3 linked regions of the Drosophila melanogaster genome follow. The protein of the gene in region 2 purifies or fractionates together with the protein of the main gene of each other region. This does not show direct contact. Each region holds a gene or a part of one and is shown on either strand. Other genes may lie near its edges.

Region 1 (5,603 bases), on a different chromosome or scaffold from region 2:
ATTCTCACTAGGTTTGTGCGTGTCCATCGTCATACAATTGCAAATTTATATACGTACATGGCAATAACCATATGCATATTTACTTGCATAGCACTGTAGGTGCAATCGACGACTGCAGGGCAGCGAGGGCAGCGCTGATAATCCAGCGGACGGTTAAAAATAGTCCAACAATGGGACAGAATGCAATCAGTGGAATACCCCTCCCTCCTTCGGCATATTACTTCAGTTTGTGGAGGAGCCGTTGCCAAACATCCGTCCGCTGTGCGATTTTCTGGAATACTTTGGACGGATGATGTCCTTGAAAGTGAATGCGGATGCGAGTGGAGGCTTTTCCGAATTGCTCGTGGAGTCCGGACCCTGTCCTTGTGAGGAAGACAGCGTCGCATAAGCTGCATTCCTGCTGGTTGGAAGTCCATCGAGATATTTTAGCTGGGGAAGCACCTGTAGTATATACTCGCGGGGTCCTTGGCCCCCGAAAACTGTGCGGATGCCAGGATTCCCCATGCAAGAGAGCTGATCCAGCGCAGGACAGTGCCGTTCGATGCGGTGTATCCAATCGGTTATATTTGCTATATCGCAATTGTTGATCCTGCAAGACGAATAGAATATGTGTTATTGCGTGGACCCATGTATGCAAGATTCAGGGTAATCACCACAAGATCCTTAAGCTCGGCAAATAAGGAAAAGTGTTTATGTCCAGGTTTACGTTGCGGTCCAGGATTAAAGTGTCCAGATCCTCGAAAAAGGAGAGAAATCTCAAGTTTCGGAAATCATTGTGACTCAAATCGAGAAACTTGGTCTGCGCTGCGAATTTGTCGGCCAGTCGCCGCGGAATTGTCTTCAGGTTCTCATAGGCCAGCGAAATGCGTCCGTTGTCCTCTAGGATGCTTTCCGAAAATGATACATCTTCACTTGGACAACTGCTGATGGAAATGTTGCCACTAAAGGAATACGGATTCGGCGTAATCATCTTCCCCACGTTGTCTTCGGTCAGCAAAACGTCGTTATATTCGTAGTTCAAGCTCTCCAGCGACTGAATGTTGGCACAATTCCTGAGGACCTCCGTTAGGCAGGGATTCAACGGGCTGGAAGCGGGATATTTTGGTCATTACATGGATTTTTGAATGCCTATCTACTACCTGTCTTCGGAGTTGGAGCGTTCAGAGGTCGATGTTCCAGACATAACGGCGTAGATCTACATAACTGGCAGCAGCTCCTATTCTTGGTGTTTTCCAATCGGGATCGGGACTCCGTCGGATGGTATTTATTTTGGTCCAACGTCTGTGGTAGACTGAGGGAAAAATGACACTTGACTCTCGCTCCGCGCAGATTATCTGGATCTTCCGCTCCCCAAGCAAACACATACCCATATCTGTGAGTGTATTGAAACAATTGTCATCTCGGTGGTCACAATCACCCAACGCACTCAAAGTACACTCGAAAAAAGCTCTGTTGGAAATGTAAACATGTAGTGAATCTTTTCTGCCACAATTCCTCCTTATTTTGAGATAAGTTTATAAATAAACGTTTTTTTTTCTCTGTAAAATTACTCGTTCAGATTAGTAAGTGTAAATGCACAAGTCGAGAACAACAAAGTAAGGTATGAGGAAGAAATCTCTATTGTTTTTCCTTTGTTGATGCTGATACTCTTCCACGGAATTATCTACGGAGATGGTGTGTTAGTTTTGCTGAACGCTTGGTATACTATTTAGTTATTGGTTTACCGAACTACTTATCCAGTTAGGAGTACGTTTGGTAAGAGGGTTTAAGGTGTTCTTTCTTATCTCTTTTATCAAACTCAGGAACTTTGTATTACCTTACGTGGCTGGGAACAATTGGACCATGTTAATGCGCTGCAAATAATTAATAAGAGCTCCTTGTAATATAAATCACATTTATTTACTTGTTTGTTCATATAGAGCTAAGTTGATCGATTGTGTCGTATGCCGAGTGCACTCAGAAACGGAAGGGAAACGTGAAAATATGTTGATTATGTGACTATACATATATACTAACATAAGTAAGCCATATGACTTCCTTAATTATCCAATAGGAATCTAAATTTATAATGTTTTCCGGTTGATCTTTTGAATTGGACTTTAAGATATTTGAATGGCAGAACGCAAAGGGTACTCTGCAAAAATGTTATTACTTGTACCCATCTTGTACCCATATCTGGCATACCACAAGGGAAACACCTAGGTTCGCTCCTTTTTACCGTATTCATTAATGACCTAGTTATTATAGTTATATCACCTTCTCGTTTACTTATGTATGCAGATGAGAGGAAAGGATATATATACATCATTGGATCGGAAACGCTTTCTTTTACAAACTAGTCAACAAATCCTGCATACTGTGTAACTGTAGAGTAGAGTCTTACGATATTCAAAAAGTAGGTTGGCAGCGCCACGCCACTGTTATTTGGTATAATCTAACGGCCCATTATGCTGCCACACTTTTATTTTGCCAGGAAAGGAAATCGGCAGTTAAAGATTACAATTGGAAAATTAAGTTAAATTAATGAGATATTTAAGTGCGCCTAAGTGAATATGTCGCTAGATTATGAGAAGATGAGCTGGTCGGGTGAGTTTTTGGCTTTTCCCGGCTTCAAACAGGTGCAGACCACGTCAGTGGGTTGCTCCCAATCGCCCGGTTTCCGTGGACCCAAAAAACGGGGCCATGAATGAAAAGTGCGGTATCATAATCGTATGATCATCCTTCCAGATGTACGCGATCAGTTCAGAACATGGCGCGAGGAGACGGGTCGCCACAGCGAGGAGGTGGTCCAGCTGTGGGTTGCTGTGCTGGAGGACAAGGTGCACAAGACCGGCAACGAGCGGCATCTCATCCTGGAGCAGGTGATCATCGCGGCATTGGATACGGCTCGCTTTGACATCGCCACCAAGTGTACCAAGCAGCTGGCCCTCGAGTTCCCGGGCAGCCTGCGCGTGATGAAGTTCAAAGCGATGCGCTACGAGGCCCTGGAGCAGTACGATGAGGCCGACGAGGTCCTGGATGCAATCATTGCTAAGGACGAGACAAATGCCGCGCCCAGGAAGCGCAAGATTGCCATCCTTAAGGCCCGTGGTCGTCGCCTGGAGGCCATCAAGGAGCTCAACGAGTATCTGAAGAAGTAAGAAAGCTAAGTTCATGGTGTTTTTGGAAGAACGGAACCAAATTAGTTTCCGGCATCCGGTTGCTAGACAACTACTTATCTTACCATGTACGATAATCTCATAACTATTTAATATTCCTTCAGGTTTATGTCTGACCAGGAGGCATGGCATGAGCTGTGCAACATGTATCTGGCTGAAGGCGAGTTTGGCAAAGCTGCCTTCTGCATGGAGGAGGTTTTGCTGCACAATCCGCATAGCCATCTAATACACCAGCGTTTGGCAGAAATACGATACACAATGGTGAGCTATATAAGCCCACTAACCAGTAATGAAGTCCATCTTATGAATTAATTTTCTTTCAGGGTGGCGTCGAGAATATGGAATCGGCTCGCACTTACTATTCGCAGGCCCTGAAGCTTAATCCGCATAACTTGAGGGCCCTTTATGGCATTTACTTGTGCTGCAACCATTTGGACAACTCTCGAGCCGTGAGCTCCAAACGGAAGGAGCTGCAAAAGTTGAGTCAGTGGGCCCTCGAACAACTTTTGACTAAACAAACGATTGTACCCTTGGAGGCTGCTTTTGGAAACCTGGAAATCAAATCGAATTGACCAACATAAGCACTACAAATTTGTGCAATAGATGCCAGAATGTAATGGTTCCAAATATTTTCAGATGTGGGTTTCCAGTTTCTGTTCTTTAAGCAAGTTACATAGATAAACAATTAAAGAAATAGGAGTAAAAACAATTTTATAGTCAGTGCATCCAAGCAACTGTTTTTGGTGGTCTAGTATTGTTGACGGCATTGAAAAACATTTATTATTGAGGTAGGCAAAAATAGTCCTGTAATAAATTTAGATTAAACGCAATGAACTGGTTACTTTGAATCATAATTTTAATCTTTGGCCTCAAGTTTTAAGCAATATTAACTCGTGCCCATGTGCTTACATCCGTAAAATTAATCGGGCACTGAACGACATTCAGAATAAGTCGAAGAACATTTATTCTGAAGATGGTGCCTATTGTATACTTGACTATTCGCTGAGGTCATTGACTCTTATTATTGTAAAAATTGCTTTAATGCACTAGATTAATTCTCACTAGGTTTGTGCGTGTCCATCGTCATACAATTGCAAATTTATATACGTACATGGCAATAACCATATGCATATTTACTTGCATAGCACTGTAGGTGCAATCGACGACTGCAGGGCAGCGAGGGCAGCGCTGATAATCCAGCGGACGGTTAAAAATAGTCCAACAATGGGACAGAATGCAATCAGTGGAATACCCCTCCCTCCTTCGGCATATTACTTCAGTTTGTGGAGGAGCCGTTGCCAAACATCCGTCCGCTGTGCGATTTTCTGGAATACTTTGGACGGATGATGTCCTTGAAAGTGAATGCGGATGCGAGTGGAGGCTTTTCCGAATTGCTCGTGGAGTCCGGACCCTGTCCTTGTGAGGAAGACAGCGTCGCATAAGCTGCATTCCTGCTGGTTGGAAGTCCATCGAGATATTTTAGCTGGGGAAGCACCTGTAGTATATACTCGCGGGGTCCTTGGCCCCCGAAAACTGTGCGGATGCCAGGATTCCCCATGCAAGAGAGCTGATCCAGCGCAGGACAGTGCCGTTCGATGCGGTGTATCCAATCGGTTATATTTGCTATATCGCAATTGTTGATCCTGCAAGACGAATAGAATATGTGTTATTGCGTGGACCCATGTATGCAAGATTCAGGGTAATCACCACAAGATCCTTAAGCTCGGCAAATAAGGAAAAGTGTTTATGTCCAGGTTTACGTTGCGGTCCAGGATTAAAGTGTCCAGATCCTCGAAAAAGGAGAGAAATCTCAAGTTTCGGAAATCATTGTGACTCAAATCGAGAAACTTGGTCTGCGCTGCGAATTTGTCGGCCAGTCGCCGCGGAATTGTCTTCAGGTTCTCATAGGCCAGCGAAATGCGTCCGTTGTCCTCTAGGATGCTTTCCGAAAATGATACATCTTCACTTGGACAACTGCTGATGGAAATGTTGCCACTAAAGGAATACGGATTCGGCGTAATCATCTTCCCCACGTTGTCTTCGGTCAGCAAAACGTCGTTATATTCGTAGTTCAAGCTCTCCAGCGACTGAATGTTGGCACAATTCCTGAGGACCTCCGTTAGGCAGGGATTCAACGGGCTGGAAGCGGGGTATTTTGGTCATTACATGGATTTTTGAATGCCTATCTACTACCTGTCTTCGGAGTTGGAGCGTTCAGAGGTCGATGTTCCAGACATAACGGCGTAGATCTACATAACTGGCAGCAGCTCCTATTCTTGGTGTTTTCCAATCGGGATCGGGACTCCGTCGGATGGTATTTATTTTGGTCCAACGTCTGTGGTAGACTGAGGGAAAAATGACACTTGACTCTCGCTCCGCGCAGATTATCTGGATCTTCCGCTCCCCAAGCAAACACATACCCATATCTGTGAGTGTATTGAAACA
Region 2 (5,071 bases):
TACAGTGGCTTTTTTAGGTCCCCCGAGTGGATGATCCCCAGAAGTTGATGCAGCGTTTCAACGAGAAACTCAAAGAACTAATGGATCAAACCAAGAACAAGTAACAGCCTTGGTAGTTTCGTACAAGGATAACGTTACCTTCACTAAATTCAAAAAAGTCATAGAGCGACCTTTGTAATTTTTTTTTTTTTTTTTTTTATAATTTTTTTTATTATTTATTGAATCTTCCCTTTGTGTTAAGAGACTAACAATAAGTGTTCAAATCTTAATCTAACTTAATTAACTTTCACTTAGTGATAGTTTTTTTTTTTTTCATTAATGCCCTAATAAGTTTATTGCTGGGCTGGGAGGTCGTTGCGGTGCAGCCGGCTTTGACTGCATACTCGGATTAGTTTTCTTGCGAGGGGATTTGTATGGGTGGTCAGCTTTTCGTTATACTTCGTTTTTTTCTCAGCTATTACTTCGATTACTAATTTGATTTTTAGGTCTCTGTGTATGTTTTCGTTTCGAAGGTACCACGGCGCTCCAGTGATAATTCTCAGAATTCTTGACTGTGCTCGCTGAATAATGTCTATGTTACTTCTGGATGCGTTGCCCCACAGCTCGGAGCCATAAGTCCAGATAGGTTTTAAGACGGAGTTGTATAGAAGAGCTTTGAACTCCAGACTAAGTGGAGAGCGAGCATTTATGAGCCAGTGGAGGTTCCTTGCTTTAAGTTTAAGATGTTTCGATTTGGCTTCTATATGTTTGCGCCAAGTGAGCCGCCTGTCCAGATGAACTCCCAGATATGTTACCTCGTCGGCTTGTGGAATGCATATGTTATTCAAGACCAGTGGTGGGCATGTTTGTTTGTTTAAGGTAAAGGTAACCTGCTTGCATTTTTGAACATTTATTGAAATTCTCCAGTCGGCAAGCCATCGTTCTACAGATGTTAAGTGTCGGGATAGGAGTGCCGTGGCTTTTATTGGGCATTTCGAGCGACTGAGTATCGCGGTATCATCAGCGAACGTGGAGGTTGTTAGATTGTAGTCTATGGGGAAATCCGCCGTATACAGGGTGTATAAGATTGGACCCAGTACACTGCCTTGCGGCACTCCAGCTTCGATTGCGCAATCGCGTGAAGTGCTTGTATCGCATCTTATTGCAAACACTCTGTTATATAGGTATGACTTCAGTAGCTTATGTGTGTTTTGGGGCAACAGCTTGATTATTTTAAACAAAAGTCCATCGAGCCACACTCTGTCAAATGCCTTTGTAATTAAAATTGTAAAAATTTTATAAGTCGAACTTGTCAACTAAACCTGGATTTTTTTTCGATATCTTATATTAAGCTTTCCACGCGCTTGTTTTACAAATTCTGAAAATAGGACAAAGTGCTGAAAAAATGCGTGCGAAGTCGTGATGATATCTTTCTACTGTGGTGAATGATGGCTTTTCCGAATAAAAATTTGTTGCCAGGTGCAACCATGACGAAATCAATGCTAAATAAGATCATATTATCATTCTGTATCTTAATTATTTTACTATTTTCTTTAACAGATCGCCCGGCGAGAAACTAGTGGATGACATCAAAAAGGAGGCCAAGAAGATACTAGACGACTGACTGGCGGAATAAGACCACAATTTTAGTTTAAACCAATTTATCTATGATCAAATAAAGAGAATCTATATGTGTAAAACTAGACAAACGAAATTCCTCCGCCGTAATATTCCAGGCGTGTCTGAGGCTGGACAAATGCCAACCAATCGGAGGCGTGGGTGGGGAGGAGCCCCATGCTCTGGCACTTGTAGAGGGCCAAAGCCACGTTTGCTAGGTTGCCCAGGAAGTAGACGATGCGCTGGCCAGTTCCCTGGGCCCCCTCCGCCATTTTGGAAGTCACCTGGGTGGTGAAGATGGCCTTGATAGGCCGGATCAGCATCATGCCGACCATCATGATGGGAAAAATGGAAATCGAGTTTCCTGACATGTACATGATGAATAGATTCATGGGAATCTGAGGGAATCCAAAGGTTAAGCACGGGTCTTTCCAAAGGGCTGCTACTCACGTTCTTAAGAGGTCCCAGGGCAAGGTCCCACGACTTCTTGATGACCAGGCGCTGGTCGCGCACCACTTCACTCTGGTTCACCAAAGCAGATGGATTGTAGCCCAGCGGCGAAGGAATATCAGCATTTTTGCTGCAGGAAAAAGCAAAAGTGGTAAGAACTTGAGTCACCGCGCAGGCTAGCAATCCTTACCTCCCGTTAAAGTCCAGCGCCCACTTTAACTTTTTTGGGTTTTGCTTGGCGGACATGCTGTGCTTTCTTTTATTTAATCTTTTGCCAATTTATAAAACAAAATGACGATTTTTTCTGACAATTGGTCGCTGAGTGTTGTTCAACGTTAAATTCCGAAATTATTGTAGTGTAGACAATTCGATAGGCAACTGATGTGTATGGCACCAGGGTATCGATAGGCAGTTACGATTTTGCGCGGACTTTTTGAAACGCATGTGCAAAAATCGAACAGCGCAGTAGTTTTCATTAATATTTAAATTTTATTTCAAATTACCTTTTAAGTAGTACTTTCCTTTTTAATATGGTCTTATATATATGCGTGATTTTTAATGGATTTTGCGTGACCAAGCGACAACAAGAAACAGAAGGGTTAAAAATTAAAATGGTATTTGTTGTATTTTTAAAGAGCAATTACAATTACAGTTTTTTCTCATTAATATTACTTTAATATTATAAAATTAAAAAGAAATATATATTTTGATGAGGGGTAGGGAGAGGACAAAAATAACTTAAAAAAGACATTTTTATACCATATACTATAGTTTCCTTTCTTGTGTGATTGGTTGGGCTTTTCTTTTACTCGATTTGCTTTTAAACATCCAATAATTATGTATACGAATTTAAATTATATTATAGCGTTCTTTATATGCTGCTTGAAAGGTTATGTTTTTGCAATTCAATAAACAATTTCAGTTTCTTGTTTGGAAATACGGACATGCGGAGCCCTTTAAGTTATGCGAAGATCTGCTGCTCTTGTTGTTGGTGTTGGTGCCGCTGCTGCTGTTTTGTGAAAATTCCTTCTGATGTCGATTTCCACCGTTTACCGCTGGATGTTGGATGTCCTTCAGCCGCTCTTTCTATGGTTCTGGTTGCTGGTTAACTGCTTCGGCTCGCTTGAAATCAGAGTTAGTTGTATTCATATTGTTGCTTTAATTTTAGTGTTTAATTAGCGATTAGCGTTCTTCAATTGGTTGGACAGCCAGTCGAGTCCCTCGTACAGCCCATCACCGCTAGTTGCACACGTCGCCTGGATGTACCAGTTGCGGTTTCTGAGTGAGTGCAAGCCGAGCTTGTCGGTGATTTCGGCCGCGTTCATTGCATTTGGCAGATCCTAAAATGATCCCAGAAAAGAGCGAGGTGCAATATTAGTATGACAATATAAGGACCGAGCAACTGGCTACTGATAACGACAACCTTTGCTTGGACCTACCTGTTTGTTTGCGAAGATTAGTAAGACTGCATCCCTCAGCTCGTCCTCTGCCAGCATGCGCATCAACTCCTCTCTCGCCTCACCGATACGCTCTCGGTCATTGCTGTCCACGACGAAGATAAGACCCTGTAACGATTCAAATGAAAACTTTATTCCAATTGTCCTGGCTTGAATCGTAGGAGATAGATCTCTAAGATAATATAGTCAGTCCCGTCTTGAAACAAAATAAACTTGAATAATCACAATGCATAATCATTACAAGCTGTTAACATCATATAGAATTTTCTGGAATCTGTGGAAAAGCTGAAATCACACTTACTTGTGTATTCTGGAAGTAGTGCCTCCACAGGGGACGAATTTTGTCTTGGCCACCCACATCCCACACTGTAAAGCTAATATTCTTGTATTCTACAGTCTCCACATTGAAACCTAGGGGGACAACCATTAGATATTAGATTTGGACAAGATACATTAAAGGTGCTAATAAGATACTTACCAATGGTAGGTATCGTTGTAACAATTTCGCCTAATTTGAGTTTGTACAGAATTGTGGTTTTACCAGCGGCATCCAAACCGACCATCAATATCCTCATTTCCTTTTTGCCGAATAGGCCTTTGAATAAGTTCGCGAATACGTTTCCCATGGCTGCTGTTTGTCTTTCGGATGCTCGGTAGTCGTAGGAAGTTGGATCTCTGGTTGGCCTGCTCGCTGTCTGCTGGCTGGAATTATGACAAGTTCAAATCCGAGTTGCTATACCGATCAGAATATGCAAACTGCACACTTGTGTGCATGGAGTGGGAGAATCTGTGAAGAGTCCAAAAATAGACAGTTGTAGGCGAGAATTTTTCGTGGTAGGAAGAGCTATCACAAAGGACGGATGCGCCGAAGCTCCTCTGGTGTTTGTTTCACTTATGATCGCGCTTACGTGTTGAATGGCGCTTACCCACTCTGAGTCATACAAAAACCGGAAGAGCGGAAAAACCGGAAAAAGAAACGAAATTCGTTTTTGTTTATTGTAATAAGGACGTCTTCAATGCGTCAGCATGAGAAAAACAGAAAATTTGTTTATGTAATTAATTCCACACTTAAATACAACGCGAAATGGAGGATGTATGAAACACGAGTCGCTTGCTTTTAGTGTTTGCCCCGCTAGCGGCTGCTGATAAGATATCGATTTTTAGTATAGAACCATGACGGCTGTCGGCGCTCAGCGCCTCCCTTCCAACGTCCTCCACCCACTTTACACAGAGTACGCAAGAAACGTGCGGGCTGAGAAGTGCGTGAATGATAAGGCCAGGTAACTTGCAGTTTTCGGCGAACTTGCTGGGCGGAGGGGAAGCTCCCAAACTCTACAGTGAGTCACCGCTGCCGCCTTTTGAGCCCTGCAACCGAGCAGGCTGCAACCGATGGCTAAGCAATTCATGTTAAAATGGAGGAACGCAATGAGCAAGCCCGTTTCGCACGAACACAAAAAGAAAAAAGGTTGCCAGCGAAACATACGGAAACCTTTCGTTTGACAGCAATCGGATATCCAAAAACCTAAGTTTGTTACAGGGAACTAACACCCCAGAGACTTCTTCTCCGG
Region 3 (8,416 bases), on a different chromosome or scaffold from region 2:
CGATGACAATGCTGATCGGATCGAGTTCCTCACCCAGGAGATCCAGGAGCTAAAGCAGGCGCTCATCTCGCAGCAACAGCAAGCCAGCAAGGTGATCGACAAGCTGCTGATTGTGATCTCCAATCAGCAGAAACAGAATCTGCGCAAGTAGCAGGAGCATTTACTGCACCCCATTCGGAATATTTATAGATCACAGTTTGACCTTTTTTAGACGTAAGGGGGTCGTGTAGGCCCCAAAGAATCCAGAACATTGTTGATATTATCGTAGCAGCGAGTTGTAGTTAAACCAATTTTGATATCGATGCGCCAGGCGCAATATGCATACGCTATATAGCCATATATCCTACATACACTACACTATTGATACAAATACTATAACTAGCGTTTAGTTGAACTAGAGGCGAGCAGTTGGCAGGATTGATTTGTGGCTGGTTCCAGGCTGTGTCTTTGTTGTTTTGGCGTTGTCGTCAGAGAATCGTTTATATAGTAATTTAATGCAAATTATTACTCTTAATAAAGTATATGCTATATATCTATTGTTATGAAAAGAGACGTTCTTATTTGCAGCTGTCGGCCAAATTGAGCGATGTCAAGGTAACTGATATAAACTGATATAAATTTTATAATATATCATTTCAATTGAATAAAGTCTCAAGAATAAACTTTTCGTAATATTAATTCAATAGGATTTTCAATTGCTCTTAACTGCAGTTGTGAATTCATATTTCAACAAGGAACCTATCCTCAGCAGAAGCTTAAGCTGTACATGACTTCACTCACCTGTTCTCTGCAGTTTTCGTCCTCAAAGTATGAGATATCCTTTCCATTAATGCTGATTTTTCCTGTTCCGGGTAGCCGCACTGTGACATCGGCTCTAGCAGTTTTGCGCAGGCACTCGTAGGTGGTGATGTACTGGCGACCCTCTTCATCGATCCTTGGTTTGGGCACCTCCAGCTGCTTGGACTGGTCCATCAGCGGTTTCATGTATCGCTCGATGAATGCTTTGCTCTTGTAAGCATATGGCGATGCGATCAGGCGATCCATGGAGTTGGTAAAGTTGGAGTATTCGATATCGGCAATGCTCTCAACTAGCAAAAGTTCCAACTGGTCCTTGGGCAGCAGCTGAAAGCCGGCAATCTCACTAAAATAAAATATATAAAACAAGGTCAAAGTACTTAATTTTCAAAAAATGCATAGCTTGTTTACAGTTTTTGGTTCTCATCGGGTTTATTGCCGCGCCGTAGCATGCGCTCCTCCAGATCCGCCAGCTTGTTAGTTTCTTCTACAATGTCCTGGTAATTAAAAAGGAAAAGTAGTTAATACCTTTCTACCAAACCACTTAAAATTAATTCATCATTCTTCTTTCTTAAGTAATGAAGTTCCCAAGTTGCGCAATTACTCACATGAAGCAGTTGGAAGAAGTTGGGTTTGCCGGTGTAGAACATGCTGTGGAATGGTCTGCCCGTCTCATCGAATTCCGCAGCCTTGCGGGCGGGGAAGACAACCTCGGGTGACTTCATAGCCGGCCGGGCCTTTTGGTCGTACAATCCGGAAGGGAACAGATAGGATATCGCCTCCTGTAATTGATAATGAGGTAAAATAGCCCCTTAAAATTTTCATAGCCAAATATCTCACGTCTATGTCCTCCTGGGTAAACGTCTCCGCATCGGCGCCCATCATGTTGGCCAGGTGCCGCTTTCCGATCTGGAACTCCAGGTGCTGGGTCTTCATGAACTCGTCGTGTTCGGTGGCTCTTTTCAGGTACGCCCGCATGGCCTTGCTCACCCTTTGCTTCTGGACAGCCGCCGGAGCAGCCTGGACGGTCACATCGGTGGCAAATGGAGCCGCTGCCTGAAAGGTTATGCAAACGTTTGGTCTCACAATTGGGAACAGTGAAAAGTGTCAAGTCTATTGACTTGACTATTGTACCAACCATGTAGCATGGCATCGGTGCCCTGGATTTGCATGCATTTTGCAGCAGATTCCTGTTATTTTTTACTATATTTAAGCCAAAAACACGCAGTGCCATCCTTTCAATTTTGCGGAAGAAGAAGAGAATAAACATATGTTTCAGTCGGTTAAAGTTGGATGGTCGGTGTTGGAAAACACACAAGCTTTCAGCTGATTTTTGGCGCCCATTTAAAAATTTTTTTATTTGTATTTTTAATTTATTAAGCTATAAAACCACAACTTTCTTACAATGTTATAAGACGGTGAAAATTACTTCATTTTTGAGATAAGTATTATAATAATAATTCCTTTTATACTTTACAGGAAATTCTAAAAAAAATTGTCCTAAATAAATCAGGTAATAGACGCTATGAATTTTTGATTTAATTGTATTTTTATTATTTATATTTTTTGTTTTAATTATCAAAAATTTTTTGAATCCACCTCCTAATTAATCCCAACAATCAGTTAATTCTGATGAAAAAATTGTTTATTTACTTTACCGTTGTCCACCTTTACAAATGCTTTTATTGACTATACTTTTTAAACACTCTTTCAATGCTGATATTTTCAAATGGAAATTTAAACGAACACAAATCAAAGGAACAGAACATGCAATGAAAACCTTTCAACAGCTAATTATAGTTATTTGATGTTTAACGCTATATAATTAGTTATAAATAATTGCCTAGGCTTAGCGTTGATAAAAGGTTTTATTCGCATTGTGGGATGTAATGCAGCTATCAGAATTCTGTTATATATATCAATAGTATCTCGCCGATTTACATTCTCTCATCATCATTCCATCCTCCCTTGTGGTATTTGGTCGCAGTACAATTTATATATATTTAAAGCAATTATTTAATAATAATGCCAAGCCTATTTCCACGCCTGCTTGAGCAATTTACGCGACGCTAAATGCTTAACAATCAACGAGCCTGATGTGAGCGCGACTAGCACTATGGAAATGAGAATATAATCAAAGTCCTCCTTCAGCAAGTCGAACGTCTTTGATGGCGCCACGCGCGTAACGAACAAATCTGTCAAATAAAAATGGTTTACAGTGCTTTAACCAAAATCGCGTTTGATAAATCTCCCTTACCTAAGCCCGTAGCAACGACTAGACAGGTACTCTCCAAGCCACTGGGCGCGGTGTAAATATTACGCAGACGGGCAACCGTCTGGTTGTAATTTATGTGGCTCTCTGTTGGCAAAGGCAGCTCGGGTATGTAGGGGATGGCTCCTTCTTCACGTCCCTGAGTCGTGGATGCGATAGGACGTCGGGGATCCAGCAAATGCCACGGCATTTCCACAATGGAACCACTGGCAGTGCCGACTAGAATTAATGACAAATGGTTAGCATCCTATTTGGCGTTCAAATTACTTTCGTTAATGCTCACTAAGCACATGCTTGTTGGTGATTCCGCGCTCCGTGATAGTTTCCCGCAGAGCCTCAACTATTGTGGGCAGTATATAAGACTGGCGCTCCACGAGGGGCATTGGCGGAGCTTGCAAGGAACTCCAAACACTGCTGTTTGCCTGACTCTTGCCCTCGTACAGTTCGATTGTGGCTGTAGCAAGTAAATAAAGTTTAGTAAATATAGGTACTTGTCAATGGCTATCGCTGTTGTAACTTACTAATCTCTGTGCGACGCAATTTCTCGTTGAAGTAGGAGTAGGCAAGCCAGTTTTCGGAGTGGACAATGCTCAGTGGTGCACGGACCTTACGATGCGTCATGGTGAAAACCACAGAGCCGGAGACCACATCAACCAGATACAAATTTAGCACGGCTATGGAGTAAGTGCCATTTAAATGAATGCTTAATTACACGAAGCGCATGCAGACTCACATTTGTGTGTGGAATCCGGTGCCTGTGTGACGAAAGCCACTAGATTAGGGTTGATGTACTTGTACAGCACCGATCGATCGCCCAGCACACGTCCCTGGGAGTGGACATGCTCGATGGGATTCTTGCCGGCAACGCCGATAATCTGCTGCTCGGAATTGTGGCCGCCCAGGCGAGCATTCCAGATGTGCGTGCTGGACAGTTGCTAACGGAAATGGTTTAATAAGTTAAGTGCTTTCATATTAAAAGGCTGCATTACTTACCCCGCCCGCATATTTAACAAAGTAGCCGGCCAGCTCTGCAGTTTTCAAATCGGCGGTGTACAGATACATGCCATCAGCCTGTACGTGCATGTAAAGATTTTCAACTCTATTGATATATCATAGAATTTTATATCTTACCAGTGGGGCCGCATGTTCGGGATAAACATGTACCTTATTCGAAGCATCCAGTAACAGAATGCCCTTCAGAAAGTCCTTTTCCGTTTCTCCCAGCAACGAAAGCTGCTTAATTCTGTAGTCCAGCTGAACAAGGCCACCTTCGGCTACTTTGCCGGTAATAGGATTAAAACGATAGAGCACACCATTGCCGCTGACCTATAAACGATTAGAATTAGCGTGGGAACTATGCGATTTGTCAGTCAGACCTACAGCATTCTTGCCCAAAATAGTGCACAACGGCTGAAGTGGAAAGTGTTTGGCCGAGCGCTGGACAATCAGACGCATCTGTTCGTCGTTAGCGAATCCAATAACATTGGGAAGATGCAGCTGCCAGTGATGTTTCCCAGAGACATTGTCAATGCCAAAAATCTTTCCAGCACGCGTCAGTAAAACCAGCATCTTGTGGAGGCCAAAGGAGTCTCTGACCAAGCCGGCTCGCTGGGTGTCTGTAGGTGGAGGACCCAGTCCGATAACATGAAGGAACAAGCTCCGAATCTGAACAGCTTGAGTGGTGATGCGACGCAAAAAGGCACTGGCAATGTCTCCTGTTTACGTGGTGAAAACATAAATATTAGTAAAGAACAATTTAATATGATCTTTAAACATTAACGATATACCAAAGATATTTCATATTTTAGTTTACATTGGAAATTAATTATTGGACAGTAAAAAAGTAAAAGTAATACACTTAGCTTTAAACTAGCGAAGCATGCTTGAATTTGTTAGTAAACATTCGTTTTTAGATTAGTGGTACGTTCAATAAACATTAAAAAAAAAAACACAAAATTAAAAGTGATAAACATGTAACAAACAATATTGCATGATTAGTTTGCTGTGAACGTTCACTTACTCTCAAAACTTGTGAAATCCCCTTTTGGTATGAATTTTCAATAATAAATTTTATGAGTTCACCTTAAAGTAGTGCATAAGTCAAGTACACTCACCGGCCTTGCCCTTCATCTCGTTCTCCAATGTGCCCTCAGTATCGGCAAGCGGTAGATCCACAAACTGCGAGTCGATCACATTTGCCAGCGACTCCTCGCGCGACCAACGAACGCGTCCATGCTGCACTGCCACGATGGACTCCGAGGTGCTGCTAAACAAAAACAGACAGTTCTTGCCCTCGCCATTGCGCTTCTGCTTACAGTCGAAGTTGCTCAGCGACGGAGTGCCAAAATGCTCGGGGAATGGCAGACTCTGCTCCAACTCCGCTGCCGGTGCACAGTTATCCAAATACAGAGCATTGATCCTGAGGATCTGTTCATACGCACAGGGAAAGAAACAATTAGTTTTCACATAGAAATAGTAGAATAGAACAGTAAATATAAGTTTAAACGTACTCCAGAGGACAGATCTGCATAGGCCAAGACTTTGCGATAGTTAAAGCTGCCCACGGCGAAGCTGGAGCTTCGCAGATCACCGCAGATCGATTGGTCCTTGTTGACACTAATTGGCTTCCCATCCACAATCACAACACCATTCAGACCCTATAGAAATGTTTGGACGAATTATAACTTCACTTACAACAATCTATTACTTCACTTTCAATAAAAGCAATAGCAAAGTTTTTTCCTCACCGTCAAGGCCTGAGTTTTTCCCTTCGGCTCCGCCTCGAGCGAAGTACGGATTACTTGACCGCTTTTGGAAACGAGATCCAAACTAATCAACTGCTTTCCGTCCGTACAAACGTAGAAGGTGCCGCTAAGGGTGCAGCTCTCTGAGGTGATCCAAGGAGCTATTACCTTGCTGGTGCTGCCAGTGCTGTGGCCCGAGCTGGCGAAATACGCCGTCACCTCGAGGTGGCTCCGCCAGGCAGGCAGCACGTGATATAGCACGGATTTGCTGTAGATCCACATGGCGTCCTGGGCCCGCTCCGTGTTCATGGGCATGATGGACCACTCCCACTCAAGGGCACCCATATTGGTGTTCCAGCCGCGCACCAAAGCAGGAGCGTGTCCCTGAACGGTGAGCATGTCGAAGCCCATGTTGCTGCCCATCGGAGCGGCGGCCGTGTCGCTGCTGTCATCGGCGAATCCGCTCACCTGGAGCAGCTTGACGTCGCCGCGCGGCTTCTGCTCGAGCACCTGCCGCCACACCAATTCGCCGGTCTTTACGCACAGACTGGCCACCACTCCCTCATAGGTGGTGACCAGAATCCGCGGCTGAAAATGGTTGAGGTCGACGCGAGACTGCTTCAGTGCTCCCACATTGACGCCTCGCCTGCAAAAGCCGCACATATCCGCCGTATTAGCGCCGGGTCAATGGTCAGATATCGTACCACACTCACCAGTCGAACTTTTTGATCTGGTCTTCGTAGAGCGCCGAGCAGGTGCCCAATAGGAGCGCCAGCGAAAGTGCGGGCAGTAACCACTTCTCCTGCATGTCGTCCGCCTTGCTTGCTGACCTTCGACTAGCTCGATCTCTGATTGTTCAACTTTTGACGTATTTTTATGTTATAAATTAGTAGAAATCCACATCAATTCGTGTTTTCCGTCATGGCAAAAGGGATGAGAAGACGAAATTGGAGCAGGGTTGGCTGACGATTGCCTTATCGATAGTTCAGCGGACTCACATCCGATATTCAAAGCAGTGCGGCTCATCCCCTTTCAACGTACGGCAAACCCATTCGGTCTTCACCTTTATGATTAAATTTGTTGGTAAAAAGATTAAAAAATAAAATGCCTTGCCATTTTGCGGTATACAGGGCTTATATTTCTGCAGATGCGGCTGCAGTGTGAACCATTTTAAATATTCGTCGTGCTCGCAGCGATAACTGTGACGTGAATGCCATCACTAGCGGTGCCCCATCTAACTCCCATCTCTAATGAGCATTTAGTGTCTTCAAAAGAAGTTGTATTTTTCTGGAAAAATCGCATTGAAATGTTTGAAAAGAAGAGCGACAAGGTTAAGCAAGCGGAGCACAAGGCCCGGGATGATGGCGTAGAGCTGGAGAGCCAGTTTATCATGCGCGTGCCGAAGGTAAGCCATACATAGCACAAACAAACATCACAACAAGCCGTGCAAATTGACGGATTCTCCGCAGGAACTGGCGGACACGGTCCATGAGGCAATAAATGCTGGCACCATTAAGGACCGGCTGACCATCCAACTGGATCCGGATCTGAGGTACGGTGAAGTGCGAATAGATGATCAGATACTGTACACGAAACTCGTGGATTTGCCCACCGTCGTCGAGAGCTACAAGACCATTGACAACAAGAGCTTCTACAAGTCGGCAGACATCTGCCAAATACTCATTTGCAAGGAGGAGCGGGAGGACGAGACGGAAAAGGAGTCGCCCAACAAGAACAAAAAGAAGGACCCCAACAAGGTGGACAAAAAATACCTCTTTCCGCACGGCATCACACCGCCGTGCAAGAATGTGAGAAAACGACGATTCCGCAAAACTCTGAAGAAAAAGAATGTCGAAGCTCCCGAGATTGAGAAGGAAGTGAAACATCTGCTGCGCATTGACAACGAGGCTGTCAGAGTTGACTATGAAATCATAAACGAAGAGGACAAGCCAATGGATGAACTGGAGCAATCGGACATCAAACCCTACAACGATGCGGATGACGATTTGCAGGACGAAAGCACCATGCATGCCAGCGAAAAGACGATCATGGAAATGAGCTCCCAGCGGCACCTCCAAGTGGAGTCCGATGATGACGAAGCCAGCAACTTTCCCTCACACCGGGCGCCGAACATGGGAGTTGCTGTCCACGACATCTTCGGCGAGGAAGTGTCCAGCACGGATGACGAGGATGAGCCCGATCGGGGCAATAACACCATGCAGCGGCGGGTGATGGAGGAATCCTCACGACTCTCGGCTGATGATTCACGAATGTCGGACTTCTTTGGCGCTAGTGGCAGTAATACTGGAGCGGGCGTAGTGAAAATGGAGCAGAACGTGTTCAGCAAGTCTATGTTTGGGCATGAAGCCAGCAGTCCTAAGCTCAGCGCCGCCGGATCAAGCTCCAACCTTGCTGCTCCCAGTGGCTTCTACGATAGCCAAATGCTAGCCAAGCGCGAGGAGTTCGAGAACATGGAATTCATAGACGAACCGCAGCCGCAGTACACGCAGCAACAGGTCCAGCAGAAGATCAATCAACTGACGCGCCAGATTCGTGAACTGAAAGCGCAGCAGGTGCAAAAGTCAACGGAAATTGCTTCCATTCA

Evidence for each region.
Region 1: the proteins of EMC4 (region 2) and EMC2B purify together in Drosophila melanogaster (affinity purification with mass spectrometry, with the first as the bait; one large-scale study listed by BioGRID). This does not show direct contact.
Region 3: the proteins of EMC4 (region 2) and EMC1 purify together in Drosophila melanogaster (affinity purification with mass spectrometry, with the first as the bait; one large-scale study listed by BioGRID). This does not show direct contact.

The regions. Positions count from the first base shown.
Region 1 is NT_033777.3:16,988,717-16,994,319, reverse strand, and holds EMC2B (ER membrane protein complex subunit 2B), read left to right. Parts: upstream 1-2,441; 5' UTR 2,442-2,552; coding exon 2,553-2,586; intron 2,587-2,727; coding exon 2,728-3,136; intron 3,137-3,262; coding exon 3,263-3,419; intron 3,420-3,481; coding exon 3,482-3,730; 3' UTR 3,731-3,986; downstream 3,987-5,603. Other genes in the region: CG31274 (uncharacterized protein), read right to left, coding at 223-589, 654-1,085, 1,140-1,183; MESK4 (misexpression suppressor of KSR 4), read right to left, coding at 4,435-4,801, 4,866-5,297, 5,352-5,395.
Region 2 is NT_037436.4:22,865,861-22,870,931, forward strand, and holds EMC4 (ER membrane protein complex subunit 4), read right to left. Parts: upstream 2,384-5,071; 5' UTR 2,293-2,383; coding exon 2,237-2,292; intron 2,177-2,236; coding exon 2,047-2,176; intron 1,995-2,046; coding exon 1,680-1,994; 3' UTR 1,604-1,679; coding exon of another isoform or gene 1,540-1,603; 3' UTR 1,315-1,539; downstream 1-1,314. Other genes in the region: CG33170 (uncharacterized protein), read left to right, coding at 18-104; Arf1 (ADP ribosylation factor 1), read right to left, coding at 3,222-3,386, 3,486-3,611, 3,805-3,914, 3,982-4,129.
Region 3 is NT_033777.3:7,900,604-7,909,019, forward strand, and holds EMC1 (ER membrane protein complex subunit 1), read right to left. Parts: upstream 6,761-8,416; 5' UTR 6,620-6,760; coding exon 6,525-6,619; intron 6,458-6,524; coding exon 5,815-6,457; intron 5,725-5,814; coding exon 5,578-5,724; intron 5,495-5,577; coding exon 5,182-5,494; intron 5,109-5,181; coding exon 5,088-5,108; intron 4,783-5,087; coding exon 4,448-4,782; intron 4,394-4,447; coding exon 4,199-4,393; intron 4,139-4,198; coding exon 4,061-4,138; intron 4,003-4,060; coding exon 3,801-4,002; intron 3,742-3,800; coding exon 3,589-3,741; intron 3,522-3,588; coding exon 3,351-3,521; intron 3,287-3,350; coding exon 3,053-3,286; intron 2,991-3,052; coding exon 2,830-2,990; 3' UTR 2,427-2,829; downstream 1-2,426. Other genes in the region: mRpS9 (mitochondrial ribosomal protein S9), read right to left, coding at 781-1,141, 1,207-1,292, 1,404-1,577, 1,636-1,851, 1,934-2,029; wtrw (water witch), read left to right, coding at 1-151; Taf7 (TBP-associated factor 7), read left to right, coding at 7,022-7,216, 7,281-8,416.